Linked DNA regions of Oreochromis niloticus. The protein of the gene in region 1 purifies or fractionates together with the protein of each later gene. This does not show direct contact. Links are inferred from orthologs where the notes say so. Each region holds a gene or a part of one and is shown on either strand. Other genes may lie near its edges.

The links.
Region 2: the proteins of pop1 (region 1) and rpp38 purify together in Homo sapiens (affinity purification with mass spectrometry; 3 studies listed by BioGRID and IntAct, with this or other methods). This does not show direct contact. The link is inferred for Oreochromis niloticus from reciprocal best matches to the Homo sapiens genes POP1 and RPP38.

The regions. Positions count from the first base shown.
Region 1 is NC_031976.2:6,409,512-6,417,654, reverse strand, and holds the start of pop1 (ribonucleases P/MRP protein subunit POP1), read left to right. Parts: upstream 1-4,804; 5' UTR 4,805-4,940; intron 4,941-5,136; 5' UTR 5,137-5,139; coding exon 5,140-5,266; intron 5,267-5,643; coding exon of another isoform or gene 5,644-5,646; exon of another isoform or gene 5,647-5,867; intron 5,868-7,275; coding exon 7,276-7,425; intron 7,426-7,564; coding exon 7,565-7,740; intron 7,741-7,869; coding exon 7,870-8,130; intron 8,131-8,143. Other genes in the region: 2-iminobutanoate/2-iminopropanoate deaminase, read right to left, coding at 298-357, 464-519, 2,462-2,530, 2,640-2,694, 3,111-3,216, 4,448-4,524, 5,644-5,646. UniProt on the Homo sapiens protein: Component of ribonuclease P, a ribonucleoprotein complex that generates mature tRNA molecules by cleaving their 5'-ends. Also a component of the MRP ribonuclease complex, which cleaves pre-rRNA sequences.
Region 2 is NC_031976.2:20,280,300-20,288,650, reverse strand, and holds rpp38 (ribonuclease P protein subunit p38), read left to right. Parts: upstream 1-4,982; 5' UTR 4,983-5,130; intron 5,131-5,687; exon of another isoform or gene 5,688-5,775; intron 5,776-5,852; 5' UTR 5,853-5,865; coding exon 5,866-6,672; 3' UTR 6,673-7,578; downstream 7,579-8,351. Other genes in the region: peroxisomal carnitine O-octanoyltransferase, read right to left, coding at 3,066-3,128, 3,224-3,341, 4,111-4,122. UniProt on the Homo sapiens protein: Component of ribonuclease P, a ribonucleoprotein complex that generates mature tRNA molecules by cleaving their 5'-ends. Also a component of the MRP ribonuclease complex, which cleaves pre-rRNA sequences.

The DNA.
Region 1 (8,143 bases):
CTGTCATGATGACAACACAGGACGGTAGTGTAATCCAATCCAACATCAAGCTTAGGTACTTCTCAGCTATTGTAAGTGAAATGTGAGCAGAGTGGATTTAAAATGCAGTGCTGTCTTCAAATACATCTCATCATTGTCAGTGAGGGAGGAGAAAGTGCTCCACACCTGTCTGCTAGGTGACCTGTGACATGTTAAAACAGCGCTAAATTGCTGATGATACTACACCTATAATTACATCAGTTTCACACTTTTCAATGGTTTTAGCTCTTTCTAGTTTTTGCTTGTTTAATGTACTTGTTAGGAAGTGCCGGTCAGAGGGCCCAAAACAGCAATTGCTTCAATTTCAACCAGTCCACCCTGGAGAAAGAGACAGCATCAGCACAGTGAGAATTGTGGTTTTCAGTTGGGTTCAAAGCACAAAAGAATAACTGGATAAAAAAAACGGTCTTTGTCAAGTACTCACTCGAGGGAGAGCAGCGACCTGATAGGCAGCCCTGGCTGGGAAGTTGGTGCTAAAGACTAAAGAAAGCAGCTGAGTTAGGCCACCAACACATTTACACATACAGACTTTCAATGACTCAGACACACATATAGAATCTACAGAAGCTTACAGGACTGCAAAGCAGCCAATTAACTACTGGTACCTGGCATTTATAGTGTTGCCCTTGTCTGACATGCCTTTATATCAACTGATAAAACAAGCAAGCTCTTTATAGTGACTGTCAGAGTAGGAGAAACACAGGTGTGCGAGTACACAAACTAGGGCTCTACTTCATCATCAGTCAGCTTGAACAAGCAGTTATTAGTCTCATTAGTTCCACTTTTGGATTTACATAGACCTGCACTGAATCAACAAGAGAACATTTATCTTTTAATGTGACAATTTTAATCTGCACAGCAATTTAACTCTGTTCACACATATTAGACACAATTTACATCAAATATATAAAATTCAGTGTATGATTATCATACAGTTTCACACAAATTTCATCAGTACAAAACACCACATTATTAGATGCACAATGGGAAATGTATTACAATGAAAAGCCGCAGCAATAATTAATACACATTAATGAGTCACTACAGACTGCACTTGATTGTGCTGGGCACTGCGCTACAAAGTTATCTCTGGTTATCTCTCTATTATCTGGATTCACTGAACCTAACACTTGTGATCACAAAGGTGGTTATCCACTCACTGAGTTAACCAATGGTTTCCTGATTGAGGTATGAGCGCATTCACACAAAAGTAAGAAATTAACAATAAAAAGTAAAAAATAAAGACTAAATACAAACTCCATCTGTACAATTTATATATTAATGCTTAAAGAACAAAATTGTAACATGTTTGTAGCCAAAAGGTTAAATTAAAAAAAATATCTGTATTTATTACTGATGCTATTAAAGACTTTAGACACTCCTATTCTCGGTGCACAGAGGTTTGAGGGATCTTCAAGTAATGGTGACGCTATTTTCTGGAGACTTGACTGGTCAGTAGGTGGTGATTTCATACCTGTTGACCTCTAATATGGAAGCACAAGTTACCATGGCGATGTACCCTGGTAAGAAGTGAACCACACTTGTAGTACAGAAAACTCGGGGTTAACCCCAAAGCTACCTGGATATGATGAGTTCCTGTTTTGTAGTACAGGCCTCGGCTCAGGCAGCAGAATTTATGCCTTTGTTGTTCTTGTCGGTTCATGTAACCGCAGCATAGCTGCACCCAACTTCAACCATAGCAAAAGCCTAATCAGCCAGAATAAAGTGAAAACACCTGTGAGGGGCCTTTAAAGACAGAGGTGGACTGAAAGAATAATCTGATTTTGACTGTACTGATGTAATCACTGATAATGGACTCAACGCAGAGTGCATCAACCTGGGTGCTTGGATCAGTTAATTGTAGGAGCAATACCTGAATTAACTGGCATTAGAAAAATGTGTAGTTATCTTTTCTACCATACTACTTAAACAATGAAATGGATATGGGGGCTTTGTGAATAGACTTAAAGTTTTTTATTTAATCTATGGAATGTCAGATGTGGCAGTCTGTCGTCTGACATTTAGATTAAGATTAAGATCTGTTGGTGGGGAAAGCTCAGGTTTCACTCTGCTAAGTGACTCAGCAAATGTCAGCGTTCCCTGTGAGTGTTTGGACTCTGCCCCTGTGTTTCTGAATATTTATTTCATAATTCAACTTGCTCTGGAGTTTCCACAGCATATTTAGAATATGAAGAGGCAAATTCAAGCACCGGTTGATTTATTGTAAAGGCCTTCTGGGTGAATACATTACTGGAAAAATAAAGAGTCTATAAAATCTGCTTGTTATGCAGCAGCGCTGTATGTCGTCTGGACTGTGCTGACACCTGGTGGCTAACGTTGTATTGCAAAATGAAGGCCAACAGCAGCAGATAACTCCAAACACATACTGATACACATTAATAACTAAATCATTGATACTCACATTGTTTGTACACGTCATTGACACTGGTGAAGTCGTTCATATCGGCTAAGAGCACTGTGGTTTTGACAACTTCAGGAAATAACAAGAAAAGAAAGAAAATAGTGCATGATCAGGTCTGTGGTTGAAAAGTTGAAAGAATTCTTCTGTGCACATGCAAAGAAAGGCAAGGCTCTCTCACCATTGGTGTAACCACACCCAGCAGCCCTGAGTATTTCACCCATATTCACCAGAGCCTGAAGAAACAGAAGTCATGTACATGATTGTGCAAAAGTAATTCTCACTTTGTGATGACTTTCATATCCTCATTCATCCTGCAGGAAGGATGCATTTGACCAGTCTTAAATTTATTCTGCAGCATTACAGAGAATTAAGGAATTGGCCCCCTGCAGGAAAACTGGTGGGTTTTTTCAAAAGGCACTATTTTTAAAAGCATTGTCACTAGATTTTCTTTTAAATAATGGACTGCATGTATTCACACTGTAGCAGTCTCTTAATTGTTTGGTTGTGAGCTCAACTCCATTGCAATTATCTCAGCAGTTAGGAATTAGGAACATCTACTGATGTCTGGATCGCTTTCAAGTGTCGCTGTACTCCATGTTTATGAATGAATGAAGGAATGAATCAGTGATGATGGGGATTCCAGTGTCACCTGTCTGGTTTGAGCCTGAACACCACCTTCCACCAGCTGTCCACTGGCAGGGTCCATTCCCAGCTGTCCTGAAATATACATGGTTCGATCCACCACCACTGCTTGGCTGGAAAACACACACAAACACGCACGGACAAAGGCTTAGCTACTCTGGGTTTATTTCGTTCAGAGTGTTAAATCTTATTGTCCTTTCTGGTGATCTTTGCTAAATAAAGATTTACTAATAATGAAGGAAGTGAGGTTAAAAAAGTTGTATGTTTGCTTGACTATTCCGTCACTTATCTCTCCATGTGTAGGTTTTTAACTGAGGGTTATTGTTTTTTTTTCAAATATTTCTTTTAAATAAGAGATTCACAAAATTGCATTTATGTCCCTTTCTGTCTTTTAATAATAAATACACAGTTTCTTTTCTCGATAAGGGGAACACTCTCTTTATACCTGTGAGGAGTCTTGAAGTCATTTTTCTGTGCCCCTATTAAACATATATGTGGGACTGCTTACCTGCATTTGTACAAGAACTCTAAAATTAGAAACATCTTGTCTCAGAGTGATGCTGAAAAACTAATTCATGCATTTATTTCTTCTAGGCGGGACTATTGTAACTCATTATTATCAGGATGTCCTAAAAACTACCTAAAAAGCCTTCAGTTGATCATAGTATCAAAGTACCATATCACCCCAGTAAAGCACTACTGGTATAACTGTTTCCTACGATATTTCAAAGCAGAATGGGAAGCAGAGGTTTCAGCTTCCAGGCCCTTCTTCTGTGGAACCAGCTCTCTATGCAGATGTGAGTGACAGAAACCCTCTGTGCTTTTAGGATTAGGCTTAAACTTCAGTTAGAGCTGGATCAGGAGGGTCGTCTGATTGTTGGGGTCTTCACTGTATTATTTTAGGCTCTTTACCAAACAATATAAAAAAAAACTCGAGGCGACTGGTGTCGTGACTTGACGTCATATAAATAAAATTGAATTAAATTAAATTAATTGCAGACTAAAGTATTGAAAAACCGCGGGCACAGTTTGCTGTTTATCTTCATTGTTTAACATTTTAGTGGTGTGTGTAGAGTTTAAAGTGCAACATCCAAAAGTCTGAACTTTGCTCCCAAAAGCTCTGAGGGCATATGCTATCCCACCTCTCCCAGCAGTAATCTTATGGACGAAACAGTGAACTCAGTATCGCTGTATTACCCGATTAAGCAAAAAAGTCGTGGTCTGTCATCAGTGAATTGGCAGTCAGTGCTATTAACAGTGCAAATGTAATGTAGGTTGGTGCTGCGGCAGGTGTGTGCCAGCTGTAACTTTAACCTTAGGGCAATGATTCAAAGCTCTTCTCACCTGTACGGACCGATAGCAGCAGGAGCTTTAGCTGTGCTGATAATCCTCCTGATTAGTGCAGCCATTTCACTGGAAATCTATCGGCCCAAGTGAAAAAAGTAAGTTGTACAACAGAAGGCTGCAAGCAGAAAACGCGCTGATGTCAGAAGGACGTCAGAGCTACTTTACCGTAAAAGACATATTACATGCGCAAACACGTTTCCCTTTACACATTTTAGTTCCAAAACTGGTCACCTCAGACATTTTACAACTCAAGCAAGAGACAATAGTGACAACATATCATATAATCTTAAGAAAACGTACCTTGGTTTTTATTGGATTTTTTTTGTTGACGCGCTAATACTCTACAAAGCCCCCTGAACACGTCATATCCGGAAGCAAACAAGACCAGCACCAGCATGAGGAAACCTCACATGGTAGCTAAACGTAAAACTAGAGGGTCCCTGCGGCTGGAACAGCGTTTCTGACACACATCACGCTGGGGAACCTTGAGGTAACCTTATGAAGTGTAATTCCTCTGGACGTTTGGTATAGAAATGTTTTAGCTTTGGTTTTGTTAGTTAAAACAACTCCCCAACTTTACGCCAGGTAACGTTGCTAGCAAGCTGGCGTTTTAGCTCAGCATTCAACTGTTTGGGTTATAAGCTGCTCGCATAGCGAGGTCTCAAGCGTGTTATTGTATCTTACAGAAAATGTCTGCGGCTAAAGTCAAAATGCGGGAGAAGAAGATGAGAAATCAGCCCGCCAGTGTGCAGTATCCATCTTCTTCATCTAACGTGGAGAGCAGCACACAGAATGGAGCAGACGCCCCTGGCACCGGTACTCAGCCTTCTCTGGTTATTTCACGTACCTATTACATATTAAACTGGAAGAAGGACCAGCGAGTCCCCTACAGTAATGCAGAACAAAGCGCACATATGTTTTTCTTCCAGTCTTCCACGCATGAAATGGATTCTTGTATAAAAAGTTACTGCCAAAATGGTTAAACCGGCAGATAATATAAACCACATAAGCAGAATAAAGCCAAGGTGAACTGAACAGATTTGCTCTCCTTGGACTGTATCATACATACTTGAAAGATAAGGTCATACATGACTGTATCTGATATAGCTATACATTAAATATCAAACACAACCGAACATTCTTCCTATTTAAGTATATGGATATATGTCATATCTCATATTTCTGCTACTTGCCATGCAGTGCGTCCAGAAAGTATTCACAGTGTGTCACTTGTTCCACGTGTTGTCATGGAAGACTCACAAAAACATGTTAGTTGTACCTTATTCCAAAATGGACTAAATTCTACATGAAAGATCTGATAATGACAAAGTGAAGAAGCTTGCCTGAAATTCTTGCAAATTTACTAAAGACAAAGGTATAACTTGTAGATGAGTATTCACGGCCTTTGCCATGACGCACAGATTCAAGCGCAAGTGGATCCTGTTTTAACTGATCGACTGTTTTCATAGCTGATTGGAGCCCACCTGTGGTAAATTCACCACTCATCACCTGGCCAGTACCATCCCGACAGTGGAGCATGGTGTTGGCAGCATCATGCTGAGGGATGTTTGTACATGTGCAGCAGCGTACAGAGACATCCTTTATGCTAACCTGCTCCAGAGCGCTCTGAGCCTCAGACTGGGTTGAAGGTTCATCTTCCAACGGCACAACAACCCTAAGCACACATCCAAGATAACAAACATAACTGATGATCCCCATCCAGCCTGATGGAGCTTGGGGGTCTGCAAAAAAGAATAAGAGAAACTGCCCAAAAATAGGTGTGCAGAGCTCATACCCAAAAAGACTTGAGGCTGTAATTGCAGCCAAAGGTGTTTCAACAAAGTCCTGAGCAAAGGCTCTCAGTCATCCAGATCATCGTAGTCTAAGGAGCCTGGAAAGAAAAGCGTCTGGACTTCTTTAAGTTTCTTGAAGATGTTTCATCCGAGAAGCTTTTTCAGTTCTAGGGTCAAATGGTGGAGAGTCCCAGATTTTAAGCCCTATGGGAGTGTCCCCCAAGAGGGTCATGGACCCCCTATTAATCCTTTACGTAATCACATGAGCCAAGGTGTGAAAACGGGTGTGGGTCAGAATCAGCCAAGGTTCGGGTGAACCCACTGTGAAACCTAGCCCCACCCTGTCATGTGACTTACTGAGGTCAGATGGCCAAGGATGTGAGTGGGCATTAAGGTGTCTGGGAAGGGATCTCAAAACTGGATTATAGATGGCAGACAGTTGGTGTCGTAAGGCACCGCCTCTGTTCAAAGAACATCTAGAGGGCATTCCAGGCATCTAGAGGACCCCCCTGTCCATGGTCACACTTAATTTGGGACAAATCGGAGCATTTATTGTGAAATAACCTGAGTTCAGGTCTAGCAGCACCTGTTGAACTTAGCTTTTTCCAACTGACATTAATAATTTTATGCAAGAATTTATTTCATGTGTAAGAGACCTTAGAGAAAACGATAATTGTTGCTTTGTTTTGTTGCACTTCTGGTAGGTGTATCTCAAAGTTTTGTGAGTCTTTCCTCTAGACTGTCTGTCACTTGGTTCTTATGATTTTTTTTTTTTTTTTTTTTTAAACCCTCCAAATTTTTTTCTTTCTAGTTCCTCATCTTCCTCTGTCATGTGCTGTTCATACAGTGAATATAGGGAACATATTTTTTCCAAGGGAGGAATCCCTTCTCATTAAGGTTGTTTCTATGATGAGATTCATGTGAAAAAGGAATAAACAAGCGGACAAAGATGTTATATGCCTTATTAAGTTGGGCGAGTTTACTCACATTTGTAGAGGCAGACCACACATGACTCACTCTCACTTTTGACAGGAGAAAATGCTGATCCTCTCAAAGGTGGTCTTTCGGAGGTGCACCCCTCTACAGAAAGGAAGAAGAAAACTCCCCACCAGAGCGGATGGGTCCGTGGACATCATAAAGATGGTGGTGGCTACACCAAGGAGATGCCCAAATACATCACTGGTAAAATCTCAACATTTTTAACATATTAAGTTTAATTCAGAGCATAGACAGTCATGAAAGAAATGAATTGTAAAGGTATTCATGAACAGTTACAGTCCAGTGAATGACTTCCATTTCCATCTTTACCTTCCTCACTCAGCTGGAGCTTTTGCAAGGGCCAGGGCTGCAGAGGTGAGCGCCATGTTGAAAGCTGTCAGAAAGACCACAAGCAGCAGCCATGTGTTTGAAGCTCTGCCCAAACACATGAGGAGACGAGCCATGAGCCACAACACCAAGCGGCTTCCTCACAGACTGAGAGAGGTGGCCAACAGAATGGTAAATTTCTGGACGTATTTTATTTTTAGCACTTTGTCTCACAAACACCTCCGTACCCTTGTTTTATATACAAAGTCCCCCACTCTGAGTACCTGGGACATGTCCACTCACTTTTCCTTCCTCTATCAGCGGGAGAAGAGCCTCCAGGCTGGCTCAAAAAAGAAGAAGGAGCCGGCAAAGAGCAAGAGCCGCAAGGCCCGGCGGCGCCATGGAAACCTGCTGTTGGAGTTCAACCGCCGTCAGCGGAAGAACATTTGGCTGGAAACGCACATTTGGCACGCCAAGCGCTTCCACATGGTTAAAAAGTGGGGTTACTGCCTCGGGGACAGGCCTACATACAAATGCTACCGGGCTTGCTACAGAGCAATGAGCAGCCACTGCCTCCTACAGGTAACCACCTGCT
Region 2 (8,351 bases), about 14 Mb from region 1:
TTTCTTGAACGTAACAATGAGTTCACTGTACCCAAACGGCCTCCACAGTCAGCAGATCTTAACACGAGAGAGCACTTTTGGGATGTGGTACAGTGGGAGATTTACATCATGGAAATCTGCAGCAACTGTGTGATGCTGTTATGTTGACATATTTTAAAACATTTCCAAAAAAGATGCCGGCAGCGGTCAGGACACCAGCAAAACAAAAACTAGAGAGAAACCAGTAAGGAGGATGAGGAGAGAGCAACCATCTGTGTCCACCACCTTCAAAACCATGAACTGTGGTGTTGCCTCTCCAGTGCACCTTTTGTCCACTTAGGTTTGCACCAAAGCCGGTGTTGGTATTCTATTCCATGTTTGGATCGAAGTTTAGTTCCAGCTAAGACAACTCTTTTAAGTATTAATAACTGTATGTCAATCAAAACTTCCCGTAATCGTTTGCACTGACCACAGTCGGGCCTCTTCACGACTTTAACACAAGTGATGAGGAATAAAACCTAAAATCCTTTCTCCATGTAAAGATTTTATGCAGGTTTTTTTTTCTCATTTTGTTCATCACCGTTTATCAATCCTTAACTGGCAAGCATCTCTTATGCATTAACATAAGAGGGACGTAACTGATGCCAACATTTAAAGCGATGGCAAAGAAAAATCAACCTCTCAATAAAAACAAGCACAAATGAAAGAAAGGAAACAGTGCAGAAAAAGGTTTAATCTTCAAAACGTGTTTGTTCGCATTTGCCAACATTTAAATTGTCCTGTTTTGATTCAAGCTACAAATCTAAGTCCAGTATGCAGTACATATAGAAAGATTAATATGTTAAAGACTGCATAGATATCATTAAAATGCATAAATCATTTGAGCTATGTAATTTAAAAAATCAGGATAGAAAGACATTTTTTTAAAAATCACATTATTGTGCAGAATTATTGCCTCTGGAAGCAAAGCTGCTCTTTTAAGTAAAGAGCAGCTTTGATTTAGTAGTTTGAATTAGTAGTCTGTTTTCATCGCTGCTGCCTCTTCAGTTCATGGACGTCTCACACCCCGTACTTGCTGATGACTTCTTTAGCCTTTGCGATGTAGGCCGACATGGCGTCCTCCTTGGACATTCCTGAAAGAGTTCAAATTACGAGTGATTTGGACTTAAATAATAATGTCTTAAAGGAGTTTTCTCCTATTAGTATACATGCTTAGAGAGCCTTTCACCCATAGCACTGAAAAGCTGGTTAAACTATGGGAGAAATTCTCATGATGAAGATGCTTAGAAAAGATCAGGTCTTTTTATTGGTAATAAATCTAAAAAAAAAAAAAAAGTATTTCCCCTGGCAGCACAGAACGCTTCCTTTAATGAGCTCAACAGGTTCCGATAAATCACCACCATGGAAGCTGGCATCTGGGTTGTGTTTTTGTTATGGTAACGTGGGCGATAGTAGCTCAAGAGTTGGCAGTTCGTCTTGTAATCGGAAGGTTGCCGGTTTGAGCCCCGGCTCGTACAGTCTCGGTCGTTGTGTCCTTGGGCAAGACACTTCACCCACTGCCTACTGGTGGTAGTCAGAGGGCCCGGTGGCGCCAGTGTCCAGCAGCCTCGCCTCTGTCAGTGCGCCCCAGGGCAGCTGTAGCTACAATTTAGCTTGCCATCACCAGTGTGTGAATGACTGAATGTAGTGTAAAGCGCTTTGGGGTCCTTAGGGATTAAGTAAAGCGCTATACAAATACAGGTCATTTACCATTTAAGTAAAGATATAAAACTTTAAAACACTGGATTTTTAAAAATCTGTATGTATATTTGTGCAGTGTTTTTGGGATCATTGTTGCCAGATTAGGTCACAGATTAGTTTTTTGGGGAATGACGTTGTTGGTGTAAAAATATGAAATTATTCCTGTCAAACTGTGTTATCTTTGGCCTTTTTCATAGCTTCAGCAAAAGACATGTGAACAAATGATGTGTTTGTGCAACAGGCTGCTAGTAACAAAGGGCCTAAAGATAACGATTAAAAATGGTACTTTGATCAGTTGTCTGTTATGTGTAGACGAAGCTCTCGTTCATTAGCTCGAGTTAGGTTACTATTTATTCCTTGAATGATTCAGTGTTAAATGGCTTAACAAATAAAACAGTTCCTCTGAAAATAGTCAGGTACAAGGACTGGACTGAAAATTAGCTAAAGGAGCAAACAATGTCCAAAGGCAAACTTTGAAAGACCTTCAGAAAGCCCGGAGAGCTATTGCTCAAGATCATTTACATTGTCTGAGTCATTGGAAGCAAAATACAAAGAAATGAGTGGTGCTCAACACCACCCTTTGACTCTTTGCACAAGTGTGATGTCACTAAAAATGAACCTATTACAACAAAATCTGCGTGTAGTCACCTTTTTCTCAAGTACTCAACACTAAACACAGACTTGCAGAAACAGCTCGTGTGCAGCTGAATCATGGAGTTGACCTGCAAATGCCTTAACTCAACATTTTTTGAGGGTAATTTTACTTTAAAAAATAAATTTAAAAAAATCAATGAATATGCGAGTAAAATTAAAAAGTTCCTGTGATGTTGGATGAAACTAAGTGGTGAAAATATTTGGATATTTTGACAATGACTAACTTCTAATTTCCTAAAAGTTACCTCCTGTGAGTCTTATTTGACACTGAACACACCTAATTTGGAGCAGATTCCTCCATGTTCGGAGTTGAGCTCATGCTCCACAAACATGTTTTACGAAATTCATTCTCATGATTTACACCTGTGGACTCAGCAGGTTTTGAGTACTAAATAGGCTACTCTGCAGGCAACCAGGAGGTGGAGCCCCACCAGTCTGCATGCATCCTTGCATCCAGTGAAGTGTAAATGTGTGTGTGTGGCTCGTAGTGTAAAAGAACCAGTTCTTTTACCTTATTTAGTACAGAAAAATACCAAAAACTGTTCCAGCTGTGAACTTGGGAAAAAATATCTGTCTCATATATCCTTGTATGATCTATAACCTGCTAATAAATCACTTTTCCAGCACCTTCAGTTAAAGTGTTTAGTTCTCATGGACAAATTTAACAATCACAAGCTTTCCTAACTCGTTACCTTTCCTCGACTCCCAGGCGTCCCACTTGGCCTTTCCTTTTAGGTCCAGCATTCCCGGTCTCTCTACAGTTGTGAAAGCACACAGAGAGGAGGAGAAAAAATCTGAACTTAGTGAACTCTTTATGGGAGTGATTCAGTTTCTCTGTAGCGGGTCCTACCAGTGTTAATGTCTCCAACAACCGCCTGTTTATAAAGGGCATACAGGAACAGCAGCTCCTCGTCTGTGGGCTTGGCCTTCACCTTCTTCACATCATCTGCTGCCTTGTCAAATTCTGCCTGCAGGTGACATGAACACTCTTTATGTTTACGATTAAATTTTCAGAAAACATAAGCAGTGTGTCTGTGATGGGAAAACACTGGACTGGAGGATTTCTTCTCTTTGCAATAAAGTCCAGCAGGAATGTAAAGTAATTACATCGAATACGAGAGTGTGCATATTAATGAGTTACAAGCACTGAATAAGAAATGTGAGTGTGGTATTCTAGGCACGGGGCAGTCCTGGGAAACTGATTGTTGCACAAGCTGGAGATAAACAATGGGCTTTTATATGAGACCAGAGCCTGTGTGCCTACTCAAATAATCTGCTTTTCAAAGGATCTGGGACACAGCAGAACTGATAATTATAGACCACAGGAACCATTTTTTATATGCACAAACACCTAAAAACCTTTTAACTCTTTACTGAGGTGACGCTGAAATATATAATGATCCAGCTCTGAATGCTGACGATTGGTCAAAAAGCGGATGTTTGTATATAGATCCAGTTTACCTCCACATGTTCTCATTTCTCACAGAGACAAACTCTAAATCTAGTGAATTTTCATCGGGAAATCTCTAAATTCTAAGAGCAGCATCAGGACCACTGAGCCGAGAGCATTAACGCGTTTAGGCACGACTTTCCTTCATCCACCCTTCACACGCCGTCAAAGATGGATGACTGCATACGGCCAGAAGACGGCATGCGCTGTTCGGTTCATCGCGACAATGTAGCATCTAATAAATAATAATAACAATAATAAAAGAGCAAAGAAACGCAGGATTTTACCTGGAGGGTCATCTTGGTAAAGGTAAAGGCTGGGAGCGCAGATGAATGTCCTGCCCTGAAGGGTTTTAAGCAGCAGTAATTGCAGCACAGCTGATCGATGCACTATTGAGAGTAAAGCAGAGGCTTGTAGGGGAGGGAGCAGACAGCTGCAGAGGTGCTGATTGGCTGCCTGTCACCCTCACTCACAGCGACACACACACGCACACGGACTTTAATAAAATGGGGAGATATAGTGGACTATGGCACCTAGTCCACTGACTACTGAGACTTTATGACGTGTCATTTGCAACAGTGTAATAAATTTAGGGAGATATAATCATATCAGTTCAGCAGGATTAATACAACCTCTACCACAATATGCTTCCTACACAGAACTCCGTGCAATAATATTATTTTAAAAATCTGCCCAAAATGCTGACTAATTTCATTACATATAAATTTTTGTATTATTATTATTAGATTTGATTTTTTGTTACACAAGTACAGTGTGAAGTGTTACCATTAATGGAGTCTGCTCAAATGAAATTTACTTGGTTCGTGCACATTCAGTTTATACGAAACACATTTCCCTTAACGATAAAGTATTTGAATAAATAAACCTTTGATTTTATATGTTTCATTTTTATTCATATTATTGCTTGGTGTTTATTGATCACCTTTGAGGGTATTTAAACTAATTGATTAATTGATTGAGAAAGGCCTCCTTTATATTTCCTGTGCTCGTGCACTTTTACTCCAGCTGATTCATGAAGGAGACTTCATGCACTTTTCCCTACATCAGACTCTACAGTGTCAGATAACAGTGTTCGCCGCCTCTTTAACTCCACTTTCACTGCCTTCGCTGACTCTTTGATGATTTGACTGTCATGTCGCCCTTTCACCGCTGTTCGGCGCTGTGGAGCTTTTTAAATAAAGTTATTTAAATTGAAACAAAATGGCAGCGCCCTGTGTGTCTCTCATGCAGCTGGGCTGAAGCTGTAAAGAAGACGAGGAGAAATGCGTTATCTGCTTTAACCACAGGTAACGGCGGCTGTGTTTGTTTTTAATGCTTCTGCAGAAGCGAAAGGTTTTTTATTAGAGCCGAAGAAGATCTGAAATTTAACGACATTTCCATGTGGGTTAAAGAAATGCGAAATAAAAACGTTGCTAATCGTATTAGTTTATAATGGCGTTGTTTGTTTGTTTAGTCTGATTTTTGGATACAAATTTTTAACAAATGTGATCTTGTTTTTCTCTATTTTATCCACTCATCTTAAAATGTCCTTTATTCCTCTTAGTCGTGTTTACTCTTTTCTGCTTTTACTTTTTTACCTTTTAAACAAACAAGGAAATAAAAAAAGATTCTGGTATGCGTTTTTTATATGTGAATAAGCTGTTTAACTCATCTTTGGCATTTCTGTGCTTTAATTTAACATCAGCAATGATTTACATTTACTGGCCAGTTCATTAGGTACATCTTCCTTGTGCTGGGTTGGACTCCCATTTGCCTTAAGAACTGCTTTTTTTTTCTTCATGAAAGATTCTTGGGGGATCAACATGTGATACGTGTTGACGATGTGAATCTCCTGTTCCACCAGATCACAAAGGTGCTCTATCTGATTGAGATCTGGTGATTGTGGAGGTTAGGTACAGTGAACTCATCTGATTGCCTTCACTACCAGTCAGGTGAACGGTGTACTTAATAAAGTGTCCAGTGATTGTATGCCAGACTCTAAAGCAGTTTTTCCTCTCTTTTCTTACAGTGTCGGTTGTTTTATGCTTCAAACAGTCATGGCAGCTCCCGGAAAGCCGACTAAAAAGGAAATCAAAAAGCAGACTCCAGCCAAGACCTCCTTCACCTCACCCTTTGCCTCAAAATGGAGCCCGCTCCCCCAAGAGGACATGCACTTCATCCTGAAAACTCTTAAGGACAAGTTGATCTCCATGGGTCTGGAAAAAAAAGAAGTGAAAGGGTTTCGCATATGGAGGAAAAAGAAAGGCAAAAAACCTGATGTCGCACCGGAACCTGTTCCCCAGGAGAGCGATTCCTCCAAAAACGGCTGGACAGATGTGGCAGCCAGACGGCAGCTGGCCATCGGCATCAACGAGGTGACCAAGGCTCTGGAGAGAAACGAACTCAGACTGCTGCTCGTGTGCAAGTCTGTCAAACCGAAACACATGACCAATCACCTGATCGCTCTGAGCGCCACCAGAGGAGTGCCGGCCTGCCAGGTGCCTCGCCTGAGCCAGAGCGTGTCGGAGCCGCTGGGGCTGAAAAGCGTGCTCGCCCTGGGGTTCAGACGGTGCTCCTCCAGTGACAATGGGGTGTTTACCGACACTGTCGATGCCATTAAGCCCAGAGTGCCTTCACTGGACATGGCATGGCTGCAAGGTGCTAAACCTGAAGAACCTGTTGCCATGGAGGAGGAGGAAGGTGGTGAAAGAAGGGGACAAAAAAGGAAACTGGAAAGTGAATATGAGGGGGTGTCAGAGTCTCCCTCCTCCTGCACTCTGCAGCCGCTCCAGGTGAAGAGAATCGTTGCTAACCCTGCAAAGAAGAAGAAAGGGAAGCCGAAGAAATAGCTGTAAAGTGAAAGAGAAACTTTAAGGACTGTTTGTTTAGCTCAGGAGTTTCCAGTGTTGTTTATTTTTGGGTTTTTGAACAGTGCTTGCAGCCTCAGTCTGGACATAACTTATGTGATTAGTTTATATAAAGAATTTCTGGAAGCTTAAAGAGAAAAAAAGGTTTTTGGGAACAAGGTTTAGACTTTTCTGCCAAGTATTTTTATCTGGGGAAGCCTCAGACCTTCAGGTTTGCATTCATTGTTTCAGCAGATTAGTAGCATTGCATATGGTTTCATGCATATTCATACAATTGAATATGATCTGACTGAAGTTTGAATTTCATTTTGTCCACAATTAAAGCCGGTCTGCACACATTGTTTTTTATAAAGGCAATTAAGTTTTTCCCGGTATTTTGATAGTGCTGTTTGTTTTAAATGGAGCTTGTAATATTTTACCCTCGAATGAAATATATTTCCTCTATATAATACAGAGGACTGCCATTAGACCACCAACATCTTGGAGCTGTTGTGCTGGATTGCTCAGGTACTAAGTAGAAAGTAGTAGTCTATTTATGTTGAAATGTAAGCAGAATTTTAGACCTCAGGTAGGCACAAATGAACCAACTTAATGATCATTTTCCAATTTTAATTTGCTGTAAATATCTATAGATGGACAAAGGTACTGGGAGATTACATCACTTGGTTGAATTGGGAATGTCTTGATCCCCTCCTGGGAGAGGGAGGTCTGAGTTCCTCTGCTTAGACTGCTGGTCCCGTGACCCGGATAAGCAGAAGATCGATGGCTGGAAGGGAAAGATTAAGATCAATAGAAAGATCCTTTATTAATCCTTTGCAGGAAATGACATTGCCTCTGCAGACACAGACATAACACCACACATCCCAAACAAAATATCAGCTCCATTACTTATTTCTGATAAAGTTAGTATGAATAAATAAAACTATCAATAACTAACATGGACTAACTACATGGATCTCTTCTCAAGTTTTTAGAGTCGCAGGAGAGCTGAACCTTATTCCAGCAGACATAGGGTGAGAGGCAGGGTATAGCAGCATGTCGCAGAGCTGAAACAGTGACAGTCATTTATACCTATGAGCAATTTAGAATCCCCAGTTAACCTAACCCCCACTAACTGCATGTCTTTGGACTGTGGGAGAAACCCGAGCACGCAGAGAGTACCCTGTGTTCTTGATAAAGAATTCCGAGTATCCATCTATCCATTCTCTTCTGCTTATCCTGTGTGAGGAAGCCAAAGTACCTGGAAGGAACACAGAAAAGATCCCAGCCTGATGGTGGAATTGAACTGAGGACCTTTTTGCTGTGAGGCAACAGTGCTAACCACCGTGCTGCCTGAATTACAAATACTTAAATTCAAAATATGTGCTGTGAAAAACTGTTTCGTGCAGTGCGTCACAAAGGAGTCATGACTCGTGTTCCTTTTTAAAGTGAGTTTATTCAATCAAATATCCATGCTGGTATAGCCGACGTGTGTTGAAACAGATTGTTATTTGCATGGGGTCATGTCTAAATGATGCTGGTACAAGTTCTTCAGCTTTTTCACAGCTTACAATGGAATTGAATAAAAATATTGTTCTTCAGTTAGAGAAAGCTTTATGACATTTCAAAAGTACACCCTCCCTCACCCCACCTCCAAACCTTAAAAAAACAAAACAAAAAAC